Rhinolophus ferrumequinum: one gene and its partner. The protein of the gene in region 2 binds, or shares a complex with, the protein of the main gene of each other region. Links are inferred from orthologs where the notes say so. Each region holds a gene or a part of one and is shown on either strand. Other genes may lie near its edges.

Region 1 (7,299 bases), on a different chromosome or scaffold from region 2:
GAAATTTGTGCAACTCATGAAAACCGTGGCTTATGGAATTTGGGAAAAGAACAAAATGTATACCTAAATGTATCATTGTGGTAACAGTGCTTTGCACTACAGCATAAAAAGTGAATTCCTTGGGTTTAATACTTTTATGTGTAACATTACACATTCTTCAGTATCTTTTATTTTCCAGGCCAGCAATCTCAAAAAAAAAGTTACAGTGGACCACCTTACATTATTCCATAACGAACCGTCATGTGATTTAAAGCTCCTGTCTCATCTTCAAATAGATAAAAGCAAGTGTGGATGGAAGGGGGGCATTAAGGAAGGAAGGAAAGGTTCTTTCATATTTTCAAACAGCCTCTTTTCCAAGAGTTTGGAGTTAAAAATAAATAAATAACCTCTGGACCTGCCATTTAATTCAGGAATGAATTCAGAATCCTTCCTGCATAGTTGCTTATTATATATGCTTCAAAAGCTGAGAAATCTTCATGTATTCAGCCAATTATGACACTTTAATGAAAATCTTACCTTTCAGAGTAGTTGTACACTATGGTTAAATTAAACCCTGATACAACAAATAGAATAATTTCCTCTAACGTTTTTAGTACTATATAAATGAAGACCACTAATCAACTAGTGTCTATAATTCATTGCAGACTAACTGCCTGTGGATAGAGTATCAGAGAAACTGTGTGGTGAGGCAGGATGTTTTCCCTTTTATGCCCTGAGTGCAAAGTATTAAAACCAATTTATGTCAATCTTATAGCAAAGAATTCAGATTCTAATTCTGAATGCAAATATATTTTAAGAAAAAAAAGGCTATAAAACCACATACAGTTTAGTCAGTTTCACTTTTGTATTATGTGTACAGTGTATTTTAATCTGAAATGTTTTATACTTGTATTTCATGTTATGTAGTTTTGGACTGGACTGTGTTTTTCCACAAAAAGAAAAATCAACTGTTTTTTCCACCTTAATATTCAACCTACCTGCCCATAGTTGTCTATGCCAGTTACTAATCTATTTAAATTTAATAAATCAAAAGCTGTCCTTAGGGATTGGCCAAGAGTCGTAAGTCCTTCAGCCTGAAGGTTTTTCAGTTCATTCATAAACGTTGCATGGTTTTCTTTCCACCCGGCCTGAAAAGAAAAATTTAAGACTTTTTTTTATTTTTTAAAGCTTTGCATACATGGACAGCCATTACAATCTGTGGTTCATCAAGTAGCTGCTTCACTTTTCAGGATGGTTTGGTTAATGATGTGTTAAAATCGTATCATTGCTGAGGAAACTCTCTTCCAAAGGTGGCCAAGAATAAACCTGTCTGCGCTACTGCTTTTGGTAGCTAACAGGATAACTACTTTGGAACTTCTCTGGGAAATTTACTTCTAACCTAATACCCAAAATTTGGGGATGCAAAGTGCTAGTGGAAAGCAGACATGAGGACTTCTGAAGTTAACCTACAGCTGTCCCACTGGCCCGCAGCCCTCTAGGGAAGAATCCGAAGACCAAGCCCCGCAGCCTCCTAACCGGCTCACTCGCCAGCAAGGGCGAGAGCGGCCAAGCCTCGGGCCGATTCCCCTTTAATGCAAACCCGGGCTCGGCGCGGCCCGGCCCGGCTGTCACTGGGGCTAACTTGAATAAATATCCCCCACAGTTCATTGCTGCCGCTCACGCCGCGGAGGGGAAATGTCGGCCATGTTGATCGCAGCGCCGCCGCCGCTGCCGCCACCGGGCCGGGCTGGGGAGGGCATGGCGGTGGCCCCGCGACTCCGCGCCGCGCCAGGGCGCTCCGGAGCGGGGGAGGGGGTGGGAGCCCGCAGGGGAAAAGACTTCAGCTCCTGGAGCACAGCGGGTGGGGGAGGGGAGCATAATGAAGGGTGAATGGGGGGCGGGGAGGGCGAGCGAGGAAGGAACTGGGAAGGGAAGGGGGAGGGCGAGGGCTGTTACCTTGATAGCATAGGGCGGCTCTTCGAAAGTGACCAGCATATACCTGTCTCCTCTGCTGGCAGGATCCCGGGCACGGAGCTGCGGGAGAGCGGGTGGGGGACGGGAGAAGAAACAGGGCGAGCGAGAGGGAAGCACAGAGGCGAGGTTACTAGGCGGAGAAGGGGTGCCCAGCGGCCCCACCGCCCCCCCACCCCCAGTACCGCACACGCAGCGGCCACCCCCTCACGCCGCCCCCCACACACAGATCGGCCCCAACACACCTCCCGGGGCCGGAGCCCGGGCCCCGGCCGAGCCCCGCTCGCAGCGCCCGCCCGCCCGCGCGGTGGGGGAGGGGGTCCCCGAGCCCGGCAGCTCCCGCAGTCAGGTCCCCGACACCTCCGCCTCGCCGCCCCCGGCCGCCTTCCCTGCCACCCCAGCCGCCCGCGGGCCGCCGGGCCGGGATCGCCGCCCGGGCTCGGTCAGTCGGTACCTTCATGAAGGTCTCTACCGCGCCTTTGGCCGTGTCCAGGTAGGTGGTGCCCAGATGGCTGCGCTGGTTCATAGAGGCAGACGTGTCTATCAGGAACAGTAAGATGGGCATAGTGCTGGCCGGGGACACCGGGGCCCGAGGTGGTAGAGAAAGAGATGGTAGAGGTGGAGGCGCCGGTGGCGGCGGCGGCGACCGCCGCTACGCGGGGCGGGGGAGCGCGGCCCCCGGGAGGAAAACACCGTCTGGGTCTTTCCTCCGGCTGCGGGGAGTTTCTCCCCCGATAGTTGAGAGGAAACTCCCAGACCCAGTCCTCCCCGTCGTACCCCCTCCTCCGCCTCCTCCTGCCGGCCTGCCCGCTAGGGCGGGCGCCCGGCCGTCTGTCTGTCGGTCCGTACTCCCCGCCTCGGGGGTCCCGTCCCCGCTCCCGGCCCCTGTGTGTGTCCCAGCGGGAGACGGGCCTGGCTCCCCACCCCACCCCCGGTGCAGGGAGTGGGGACCTGGGAGCTGGCGAAGAGGGGAGTGGGCTAAGGGGAGATTGGCCCTGGGGCTGTTGGGAGAAGTTTCAGGGACTCCCTCCGCACCCCGGCTGTGTCACCACTTTCTCAGCCCCTCTCGCTACTGAAGCGCTTTTCTCTCTCACACTCCGGTTTTAACTCGGGCAGGGGCTGCAGCGGCTCCGCCTCCTGACACGTCCTCGCGCCACGTGACGCACCGCCCCGCAATTCAATTCGTTAATCTCTAGCCTCTTATTAGCATATTCAAACAGCTCAGGGGAGGGAGAAGCTTGTAGGCCGGCTCCGAGAACTGTTATTGAGCACGCGCGAAGGCGGGGCGTCGGGTGCGCGCGAGAGCGATCGCGAGGGCCGAGCAGGCGGGTCGGCAGACGCGGAGGCGGGCTCCGGGAATGGGCGGGGACGGACCGCGGAAGGATCGCGGGGGGGGGGTGGGAGCCGCGTCGGCGCGCGCAGGACAGCAGCGGCTGAGTCTGCGCGTCAGTGCTGCCGGCCTCTCCTTGGCTGTTGGAGGTGATAGGGGTCGAGGGAGGGGAAATGGAGGCTCGCTTCATCTCCCCTTCCGAGGTCGCTGTAGCGAGCCCCTTCCCTGGTGGGCACATGAGGAGGGGATAAATATAGGATCAAACGCCCAATTAGGGGAAGGCGGCAGGCCAGCGGTCTCCGGAAGAGGTTCCTTGGTCTTCAGAGGGCCGGCCTCAGCGTAGGCGGACCCAGAGCGGGGGAAGGGAAGTGAGAGGTTGTTTATGACGAGGGACTAATCTCCGCGAGTCACAGCGCTCCCGCTGGGGAGTGGGGACGAAAGACAAACCTCACCCGCAGCTCCGCTCAGCCTTGGGGAGCAGCCGGGGTGAGGGCTGGACTCGGAGCAGGCCAGGACCCCTCTTGTTCGAGGACCTACCAAGAAAGGATTCAACCCACTTTTTTCAAACAGCCCCAAAAGGGGATGGGAAAAGAGTTCAATATCGACAAACAGTTTGTTGCCCATTTTATTCTTAGGGGAAAATAACCGGTTCTACCCAACGAAATACTTCTCTCAAACCTTGTTTACTTAAGGGCCATAGAATACCGATTTCAGAGCTAAAAGGGGCGGTAGCAAACCATAATGAATTACTCTTTATTTTTAAATGAAAAAACTGACTTCAGCTTGCCCAGGTGACCCAGAGAATGGGGTTCCCATAACCCTGTCTGTGCTTTCCTTTCACTATTTGCTGCCTCTCACACTCATTTCAAATACAGTATGAGGGAAGGCGTTCTAGGTTAAAACAAGCCTCAGTCGTCATACCTGAAGTAATGAATCCTCTACACTAGTTAAAAAACTGAATACTGCCTGAAATACAAGTTGAATTAGGGACATAATAGTTCTCATAAGACTGTAGGATTTTTTTAGGGCCTCTCTTACTAGGCCTTGCATTGCGTGTTTTTTTGTTTCACTCTTCACGCTGAAATTCTTTACTGATCATTTTAAGAAGTAGTTCCTGTTAACACTGAAGAGACATGCTTTGTGGCCCTTTTTAAAAATCTTCACTTTCATAACTTGGACTCTTCCTAATATTTAAAACAACCTCTGAACTTTTAGTTTATTGTAGGGCTATTTCAGTAATACGCTGTCCTGTGAGTGTGTGCCATAGAAGAGAGATTTTTAAAGAGATTGGGACTGCTAAATAAGATGAAATACAGGTCTTACATGCAATATTTGCTGAGGACCCCAGGTGGAGTTAAATGATTAAAATATGGTCCCTGCCTTCAAAGAGCTTATAGTTTTTCTAGAAAAATACTACATTAGTATTACTAGCTACTACAAGGCAGAAGTGATTAGATACTAAATAACTCAGAAAAGAGAAAATGTATTACCCTGGGGTGATGAAAGAGCATTTTCCAGGGTCAGTATGTTTAAGCTGTGCCTTAAAGCAGTGTTTCTCAAACTGGGGTCCTAGATCTGGAGCTAAGACTCAGAATTCTTTGATGCTTTAAAATTTTTGTTTTCATTTTAACGACAATATACAAATTGTTTTACCAGTTAAAAAATATATATATATTTTTTTACATATATATATTTTTTACATATATAATATATTTTATATATATATTTTATATATAATAATATATATATATTTTTTTTAACGTGATAATTGGCAACTGATTTTCATGGAATTGGTCTACAGTTTTTCTATGTCAGTCCTTTTCAAACTGTGGTCTATGGACTCCTGCCTGTCTAAAAATGTATTCTATAGAATCATAAGAATTTATTTTACATTACTCAGGTTTGAGAAATACTCCTTTAAAGGATTTGGATATATGGGTAGAGGAAGAGGAAGCTGCCAATGAAAAAGTCCTAGACATTTAAAATGTAGTGAAGAAAGTTAGCACAGCATTGTCAATGGCTTTCTGGGAAACAGTGAAGTACATACAGCAAGACTGCCGCACCAGCTACACAAAGAATAGGATAACATCCTGAAAGGTAGGTCATGTCTAGACAGTAGAGAGCCTTTATTCCAGGCTAAGGATTTTTGTTTCCGTATAAATGAGAGTTTTTAGATGGGGTGCTGGTACAAAGCAGTGTTTGAAGGGAATCAAACTAGCTTACTGAAGTGGGTGACCATGCTTTACAGTTACTACCTTATTGCAGTTATTTGAAGTCATTTTCCATGGAGCCATCGCTCTTTCTTCCCTAACTTGGGAGTTGGCAGATTGTCATACTAGGGTCATAAGTGGAGGTGTATGGTAAAGCCAGGATTAGATACAAAGATCAGGACAGCTAATTACAAAGACTAAACAGTGCGAGAGATTCCCACTGTTTTTCTTGGTGACTTTAGGCCTTGGGAAACATGAGAAACATGAATCTCTTTTTTTACTCAATCCCTGTGATTCTAGAAAGATTCTGGTTATATGCAACTTATTTTTCTAAAACATGGCTCCTAAATGCAAGCCAACTATTTCATCAGACTCAACTGAAGAAGTGGTGAGCTCTTGCAATGCTAGAGAGAAAACTAGTTGGAGTAGTGTGTGCTAAGCCCTGTGCTGTTGCAGTCTAGGGAATTAAGGAAGATTTTTCTGGGAGGGCATTGGTCAACAGAGATAAGTGGGAGAAAACTTGCTCTTTACTGCTGCTTTTAAAGGAGTGCTGCCCAAATGCTGTGGCTCCCATTTAAAAGAGAATGAATAAATTTTATGAAACCCTCTGAAAGAATGGTGACTCGGGCTTAACAATAGCCTAAATTGTGTAAATAGAGCTATTCTAACGGAATTGAAAAAACTGATGAATTAGATTGATTTGTAGAAGCCAACCAGAGCCCTTTTAAATTACTTTAAACCAATTAAACAGGGTAAACACGGTTTAAAAATAATTATGTGCCAATGACATGGCTTATGGTTTCTGGATGTGCCATCTGAACAAAATAATCAGATTAGTGTTCATGTGTAACCTAACAATGGTTCTTTTGGCTCACTTACCATTTCCTTAGCTCTCTGCTTTTTACTCTTTGAGATCACAAATAGTCAATGATGTTGAGAGGTTGAGAGCATCAAAAAAATGACGTAATAAGCATAAAAAATTAGATGTGAAACTATGCAGCAGAATGTATTCAGGTAATATATATACAAGAAAATGTATTTTGGTCATCCTAATATTATATAATATCAATCCTCAGGAAAACATGCTGCTAGGGACTACTATTAAAAGGAATTAGACCTTTCCATTGAGCAGTATTTCACAGTAATAGTTGAAGTTTGAGATAATTCAAGATCAGTTCTGAAAGTGACATATCCAAATTGAGAATGAGAATCACAGTAGAACAGTTTCTCTAGCAAAAGAGCATGAAAATTGCAATAATTTTTAAAATTAATATTAATTGCACACCTATATGACAGGCACTATGGTAGGCCATAGAGAGTTTATAATCTAATGGAAAGACAGAGGCAGATAAACAGGTGATGAGAATACACTTATGATGAGTCAGCAGACCCCAGGCATGTAATAAGACCTGTCTTAGAGGATTGTTTTGAAAATGTGAGGCAACATAACCATATTTCATTATGCTGAGACACCTTGGGTTCTAAGAAATGCCTTTATTTTTGGACCACTGAAAGGAAAAAAATGCTACTAATTAAACTATGACGTAATGCTTCTTTATCAATTAGAATTTATCCACACTGTATTAAATTCTACCAACCAGGAGCAGTAGCGATTCAACATGTTTTAAAGAATACTCAGCTATTATCTTCAGTATTTTCTTCCAAACCATCGGCTTCCATTCTTCGAGTTTTGATGCTGGTGCTTTCTTGATCCAACTAGAAGATATCAATGAAAGGTTTCAGACCACAACCAGGATTTATATCCTTTCTTTAAATGGCTGACTGAAATGTCTAGGGTTTGCAATTGCC
Region 2 (7,319 bases):
AGGCTCAGCTTCCCTCCAGAGAAAAACAGAACTGATGGGAACTGTCTGCAGCTTACACTGAGGAAAAAAATCTTTCCCTCACTCCAGATGACTAGCTTCCCCCAAATCATTCTGCCTTTATTAAAAAGATGGTCAGTGTAGGAAAAAAATACACTGCCGTAGGCCTAGCAAACTGTAGCCACTTAATAAATGTTTACTGAATGATTGACTTGGAATGCTGCTCTGTTCTAAGTTAGTCATGATTCTCAGTATTATCATCTGTAAAATGGGGATGACGACACCTACCTTTCTCAACCAGGGATTCTCATCTGAACCACAGAACACATAAAATTATTTGAGTAATTATTTCTCTATCCCCAAAGGGTGGTACAGAACTAGAAACATTCTAGGTGCATTTGTTACATATAATGAGTCCCAAAAAGTTCATGTAAAAGGGAACCTGTCACTCTGGGGTTTAAGTCAGGCCCTAGTGGGTAGGTATAGAGGGGATCATAACATAAGATAAATGTTGTAATCAATAATTTTCCTTAACACTTGACATCATTTTCATATTCTAAGCAATTACCTCCTTACAAATTTACCCTTCTACCGAGAAGAGATTAGGATTATGCTAGACAGCAACATGATATGACATGATAAAAAGACCTGGAGTTCTGAAGTCAGAGGAATTTGGGTTCAATAACCATTTACCCATTTCCATCCTATTCCACACATTCAGTCTTCAGTCTTATCCAGGCTGCAATTAGATCAAAAGCTGGGAAAGATTTTTTCCCTAGAGAGTATGTAAAAGGACAGACAAACCAACATCTGCAATCAACCAACCATCAATGACATTTTAGTGAGCCAGACCCTATGGTCTATCCAGGGGTGACAGGGATGAACCCTCAGGCATTATCTCTGCCCTCAAAGAGCCCAGACTAGTGGGAAAATACGTATACTGGTAATCACAGTAGTAGTACTGAGTGATAAGTAGAAACAGATGAGTACAACAGAGTGCCGTAGAAGTAGGGAAGAGACTAAACTCTTGCTCAGGTTTCAGTTGGGTCTTGAGCCCAACTGATATTTTTGAAGCAAAAATATAAGTCCACTGGGTGGAGAAAAAAAAGAAAGGGAAGAATGATATCCATTCTATGCAAAAGAGACAATAGATACACAAGTTTGGAGAGGTACAAACACATGGCATGTTGGAGGAGGGATGAGTAGTCTTGAGAAGTGGGAACAACAAAATGTTTCCAAAAAAAATTACACTGCACAACAATGTTAATGTACTTAACACCAGAACTGGTTAAAACAGTAAATTTTATTTATGTATATTTTATAACAATTTAAAAAAAAAGGGGAGGATGTCAAGGGAAACAAAGCCAGGAAATCCCAGAAAGCAAGCCACAGAAGAGGGAGCTCTGTGAAGTTAGAAAACGCTATCCTAAATCTTGACTCATTCTAAAAATTCAGAAAACTAATTTCACATTAAAAAGGGCAACAAAAAAGTGTCAAAGTTAAATCTCAAAGTTATTATAAGCAAAAACAAGAATAAGGCAAACTAACTTCCCTACAGACAATGGGAATGTGCTACAAAGATGCGTCCACAAAACAAAAAAGAAAGGAAGGGATACAGCTGGAGGGTATACTGTCAAATCAAGAAGGGCTGGGAGTTTGGCTGGGGAGTTTTTAGGAAACGGAGCTGCAAAAGTAGAAGGATGACTTGATTTGTCAGTGCAATTATCTCTCTGTAGTACGAATCACATATATGATATGCTGTTCTCTCTCTTACTAGACTGTGAGCTCCTAAAGAAGGACCCTCACGTGTATTGGACACTGTAGCTCAATGTATTCATCATACCTGATACATAGTAACCACTCATTCACTCAATAAACTCTTGTTGAAGGAATGAATGAAAGGTTTAAGGATCAGTTCCTTCTGGATGGTCTAAGTCCTGCTACTCTACAAGTAGAAGAATTAAGGGTGGTCTGTGGCTCTAAGGATGCTGCTGATCAACTAGTATCAATTGGGGGCTTGTCAGAAATGCAGATTGCCTCACCTCCACTGCCAGACTTACTGCGTACAAGCTATATTTTAATGTGATTCCCCAGGTGATTTGTATACACATAAGTCTAAGGAGCACGACACATGGAATGACTTAGGATCAACTTCTACTTTAGCGACATCTACAAGGAGACACATGGAGAAGCACTGAGTGCTCTGTCAAGGGCTCGGCACACCGGTCCTTAACTCCAATGGAAGAAGGTATTGCCCACCACCAATGGAAGAGTTCTACCCCAATGAAGCTTGTGACCCACGCCTGCTTTGACTGGGTCTTAAGAATTTCTACAGACTCCTCTTCCATCCCGAGAGCTTTGAGTACAACCAACTTGTCCCTGGGAAAGTGTGTGTGTGTGTGTGTGTGTGTGTGTGTGTGTGCAACAGGAATTGGGAGGGGCTCTGCCACTAATTGGCTCTCTGTCCTCGACCCCTCCAGAAGCTAAATCCACATCCGTAAAACGAGGATATTAATGTAACCTGAATAAAATAACGGTTATTTCCGTAAATGGTAAAGCGCTATTTGTTTCTTCTAATAATTAAAAAAAAGTATCAAGACTGCACATATTAATCATAATAACAAGAATAGGGACAAATGAACACGCCCACTAAAGTGTAGTCCCAGAGAGCCTATCAAAGTAATAGGCGCTCAACCCAAGTTTGTTCCAGCAAAGCGCCTGACGTGTATTTAATCTTCCGCTGCCCGGATCGGTCCCAGGACCTTTCCTTCCCGAGCTTACCTGAACCACCTTAGTGAATTCCTCGTACACCCGCTTCTTAAGGTGCGCCGCCATGGCTGCCAGCGGACCTTCTCAGCTTCCGTACTTGACGAGGAAGGCGGGGGAGTGAAGGGAAGGGGGCGGGCTGAAGGAACCCGGAAAACTAGCTCAGGCCGGAGGAACCGGCCACGGTCCCACAAGGCAGTGGGATTCCGAGAAAGAGTGGCCACTTCCGGCTGCTCGACTGCCCCGTCGCGGTACGGCAGGATTTGGCCGCCTACGCCTCGGGAGCCGGTGGAACGGAAAAGAGAGCGTAGCGGAGGGGGCGGGGCCTCGGGAGGAGGAGGCGGGACTCAACGAGTGGGCGAGCCAATGGGAGCTTTCGGAGGCTTGGTGGTGGTCTCAGGGTTCGAGAGACTGGCGCGGAACGGAGCGGAGGGTGGGACAAAGTACCAGGTAAAGGGCGGAGGCGGGGTTGAGCCAGTGCTACAGGTAAAACCCGGAGCTGCGTAACTATCTTGACTCGGGAGGTAACGGAAAGAGGCCGAGCTGACGTTCTCATCATCCTTTGCTGTGTATAGTGTTTGCTGCTCGTAGCTTGCCTGAGCTTTCCTTTTGGCCAATCAGTGCTCCACCCCTACTCTGTCCTGGGGTGTTTTTTCCTGCTCCCTCACTCCAGTTGTTCAAAATCTACCCATCCTTTAGGGAATAAACCCCTCCTCTGATAGCTGAGGTAGAGTGGAAAGAATCCCCAGGCCAAGGGTCAAACAACGAAGCTTCATACTACAACTGGCACTTAATAAATAAGTAGCCTCAACTACAAATGGGCAGATAACACCTAACCTGACAAATTTAGTGACAGTGGAATGAGATAATGCACAAATAGTTTGCAGACTGTAAAGTGTGGTTCCTGTTGTAGTGTTAATAAATCCAAGCTCAGTTTTACATCCTAGATTAAACTTGAGCTGTTCATTGTTTCATCTTTGAAAAGAGTTAATGTGGGATGCTGAGAAAAAGCAGCAGGCTGTAGTAGGTACAGAAGACCCAAAAATGCATTAAAAGATGGTCTTTACCCTCAAGGTGCTGTAGCCTAACTGGGGAGAGACACCCAAGCTGATAATTAGTGGGCAGCCAAAGTGTGCTGGATAAGAGGAATGTGGTTCAAACAGACCTAACTTCTTCAGGATGTCTCAGGGAAGTTTTACAAAGGGAAGGATTTTTAATCTGGCTTCAAAATACAGGCATATCTCAGAGGTACTGCAGGTGTGGTTCCAAACCACTGCAATAAAGTGAATATTGCAATAAAGCGAGTTACATGAAGTTTTGGTTTCCCAGTACATATATAAAAGTTATGTTTATACTATACTGTAGTCTATTAAGTGTGCAGTAGCATTATGTCTTTAAAAACACAATGTGCATACCTTAGTTAATAAATACATTATTGGTAAAATAATGCTAACCATCATTGGAGCCTTTAGGCGAGTCAATCTTTTTGCTGATGGAGGGTCTTCAATTTGTAAAAATGCAGTATTTGCGGAACACAATAAAGTGAAACACTTTATTGTGAAAGGAGGTATGCCTGTCGTAAATTTTCTCAGACCACAGAGATTACGGTACATTATATTACATTATATATACGTACATTATAGTACATTATATAAATGTACTGAGTGAAGTGAAAAGCGCTTAGCGAACAGTGCCTTCAATAAACGTTACCAGCCATTATTATTATTAATATTATTATTACCACGTTCTATCAAATCTAAGCTGCCAGGAATTGTAAAACAAACCATTATTTTGTACAACACATTAAGAAAAAAATTCTGAAATTAAAAATAATGGTTTCTTATTGCTTAGGCTTGTTATACAGAGGGTGCCAAAGAAATGTATACACATTTTAAGAAAGGAAAAAACTGTATTAAAATTGTAATACAGTGAATGATGCTAGCATTCATTTGATTAACGCTATCTTTTAAGCGAACATCATACTACATACTACTACCGTAATTCAATTCAACTTCAAAAAGTAATAAATAACATCTCTTAAAATGTGTACATTTTTTTTGCACCCCTGAAAAAAGAGCTCTTTTAAACCTATTTAGATGGAAATTTCTATCCTATGTCATACTGCTGTCTATCCTATGTCTATGCTTCCTGTGCACATAAAAACTCTTAATGCAAGTTGCAAGGTCATCTTTTTGAGATACAGTAGCTGTATCTCATACACAGAGCTCAGCTGAAGCAATGATAACATGGAGTGCTGTGACACAATCTACACATGAAAACCTGGCCAACAGCAATCTTAAAACATGTCCTGGTTTCAGAGATGTTAAATGTGCAGCTAAGCATTAATGACACAAAGTTTATCATTGTTATTATTAGTAATAGATATGAGGCCTAGGAGGAAGTTTGACGCACTCGGAGAAACCAAAGGAAATTCAGTTCATAATGAGAGTAAAGTGCATACAGGGAGCATACAGCGGAGGCCAGACTGGTATAGAAACTAAAGTATTACACTTTAGTGCACTTTAGTATGCACTTTAGTTTCTATACCAGTCTGGCCTCCGCTTCTCAATTTTACTTCTATCAGGGAGGAGTGATAGAAGTAAAATTGAGAAGCGGAGGCCAGACTGGTATAGAAATTAAAGTAGTCCACATTCTTTAATTTTTTTTGTCACATTTGTGTTATTTTGTTAAGATTTCTTTTCTCGTAATGAAATCACATTCTTTAATTTTGAAATGAAAAACTGTCTTTATTGAATCGATGACATTTTCCTTGGACCTTCATTATTGCATATGAGAATACAATGAGGTGCCCCAGTGAATACCTTGGGCTTCAAATAGAGTCTTCTCTGTCTCTATTGTATAACAACAACTCAATTTCCCCTTGGAAATTAGGGTCAGTCTTTCAGACTGGAAGTGTATCCCCTTGTCTGCCTGTTGGCTCAGCAAGAAGTGCCCCAAATGAGCAGGGGCAGTCTCATTGCATGTTCCAATATACTAGAACAATGACTGTGTTCTTTAATGGAACTGTTCCTCCCTTGGGGACTAAGTACTCCTAACACTGAACCCAAGAATTCATAAATGAGTTATTAGGTGTAAAAGTGTCAAGAAGCACTCCTACCTCCACCCCCTAGTTCCCAGGCCCATGTATTCTAACTGAGAGAAACTACTGTGTATTAGCGGTTGGTAGAAGGCATATCACAAACCTGTAAGGCAGCACCCCAAACTCATAATGTGTTGTCTCTCGGCTAGCACCATAACTGAGTCTGAAAAAGGTCATGACACTGTTTTCATTACAGTAACTACATCTGAGTGATGGGGTACCTGGAAAGACCAATGAGTTTCTTTGCTAAAATTCTTCCACCATAAAATAAGCTCCTTAGTCAGAAGCAATGTGTGATATACTATGAAAATGAATTAGGTATCCATGAATGGTAGGGCTGACAGAAACATTGCAGTTAGGTATATGAGTTAGGGTTCTCCCGGAAAACAGAACCAGTTGGACACGTATAGAGATATTAGGCTACTCTAACAGAATACCACAGAGGGGCTTATAAACAACAGAAACTTATTTCTCACAGTCCTAGAGGCGAGGAAGTCCAAGATCAAGGTGCAGGTAGATTCGGTGTCTGGTGAGAACTCATTTCCTGGTTCATAGATAGCTGTCTTCTCACATGTCCTCACATAGGAGAAGAGGCAAGGGAGCTCTCTGGAGTCTCTTTTATAAGGACACCAATCCCATTCATGAGGGCTCTTCTCATGACCTATCACCTCCCAAAGGCCCCACCTCCTAATACCATCACATTGATGGTTAGGGTTTCAACACAGGAATTGGTAGGGGTGGGGGCAGACACAAACATTCAGTCAATAGCAGTAGGAAAGTCAAATCTGAATCTGTATCTATTCCTGTGAGGTTACGTCACTACTCCCTCCCTGATGGAAAGGATCCGGCGTGTAGTAGAATGACTACAAAAATGGCCCCAGCTCTCCCCCTCTCGGTATGCATACCCCTTGAAATGTAGCTTTGAAGCGGCTTCTATTAAGAGATGGAATCTATATCCCCACCTTTGAATTGGGCTGGCCTTGTGCATGGCCAGTAGAATGTAGCAAAAGTGACAGTGTGCTAGGTTTGAGCCTGGGCCTCAAGGTTCATCCACATACCAATTCCCCCGGCTTTTTGCTTGATTTTGGAACCCTACCATTGCCATGAGAATAAATCCCACCTAGTCTGCTGGAGTGTGAGTGACCACATGGAACAAAGCCAAGTTGATCCAGTTAAGCCCATCTTGGACCAGCCCTACCCTAGCTGATCCACCATCTGACTACAGATTCATGAGTGATCCCAAGACCAGAAGAACTGCCCAATCTGTAGGCTTATGAGACATAATTAATTGTTGTAGTCTTAAGGCATTGAGGTTGGGGGTCAGGGGATTGTCGTGTGGTCAGACAGTCCCTAAATTGCCAAGTCGACTTGCCACACTTCCATAGATTCAGCTGGTAAGGAGACAACAAGCCCACATTTATTTAGACAGTTTATTATTCACAGCATAGCAGGTGGC

Evidence for each region. Proteins that work in one complex are often made in the same cells at the same time.
Region 1: INTS4 (region 2) and INTS6 share a complex: the UniProt entries of both Homo sapiens proteins name them as parts of the integrator complex. The link is inferred for Rhinolophus ferrumequinum from reciprocal best matches to the Homo sapiens genes INTS4 and INTS6.

The regions. Positions count from the first base shown.
Region 1 is NC_046287.1:86,290,818-86,298,116, reverse strand, and holds the start of INTS6 (integrator complex subunit 6), read right to left. Parts: upstream 3,030-7,299; 5' UTR 2,516-3,029; coding exon 2,405-2,515; intron 2,014-2,404; coding exon 1,936-2,013; intron 1,128-1,935; coding exon 978-1,127; intron 1-977. UniProt on the Homo sapiens protein: Component of the integrator complex, a multiprotein complex that terminates RNA polymerase II (Pol II) transcription in the promoter-proximal region of genes.
Region 2 is NC_046294.1:52,165,646-52,172,964, forward strand, and holds the start of INTS4 (integrator complex subunit 4), read right to left. Parts: upstream 3,066-7,319; 5' UTR 2,833-3,065; coding exon 2,779-2,832; intron 1-2,778. UniProt on the Homo sapiens protein: Component of the integrator complex, a multiprotein complex that terminates RNA polymerase II (Pol II) transcription in the promoter-proximal region of genes.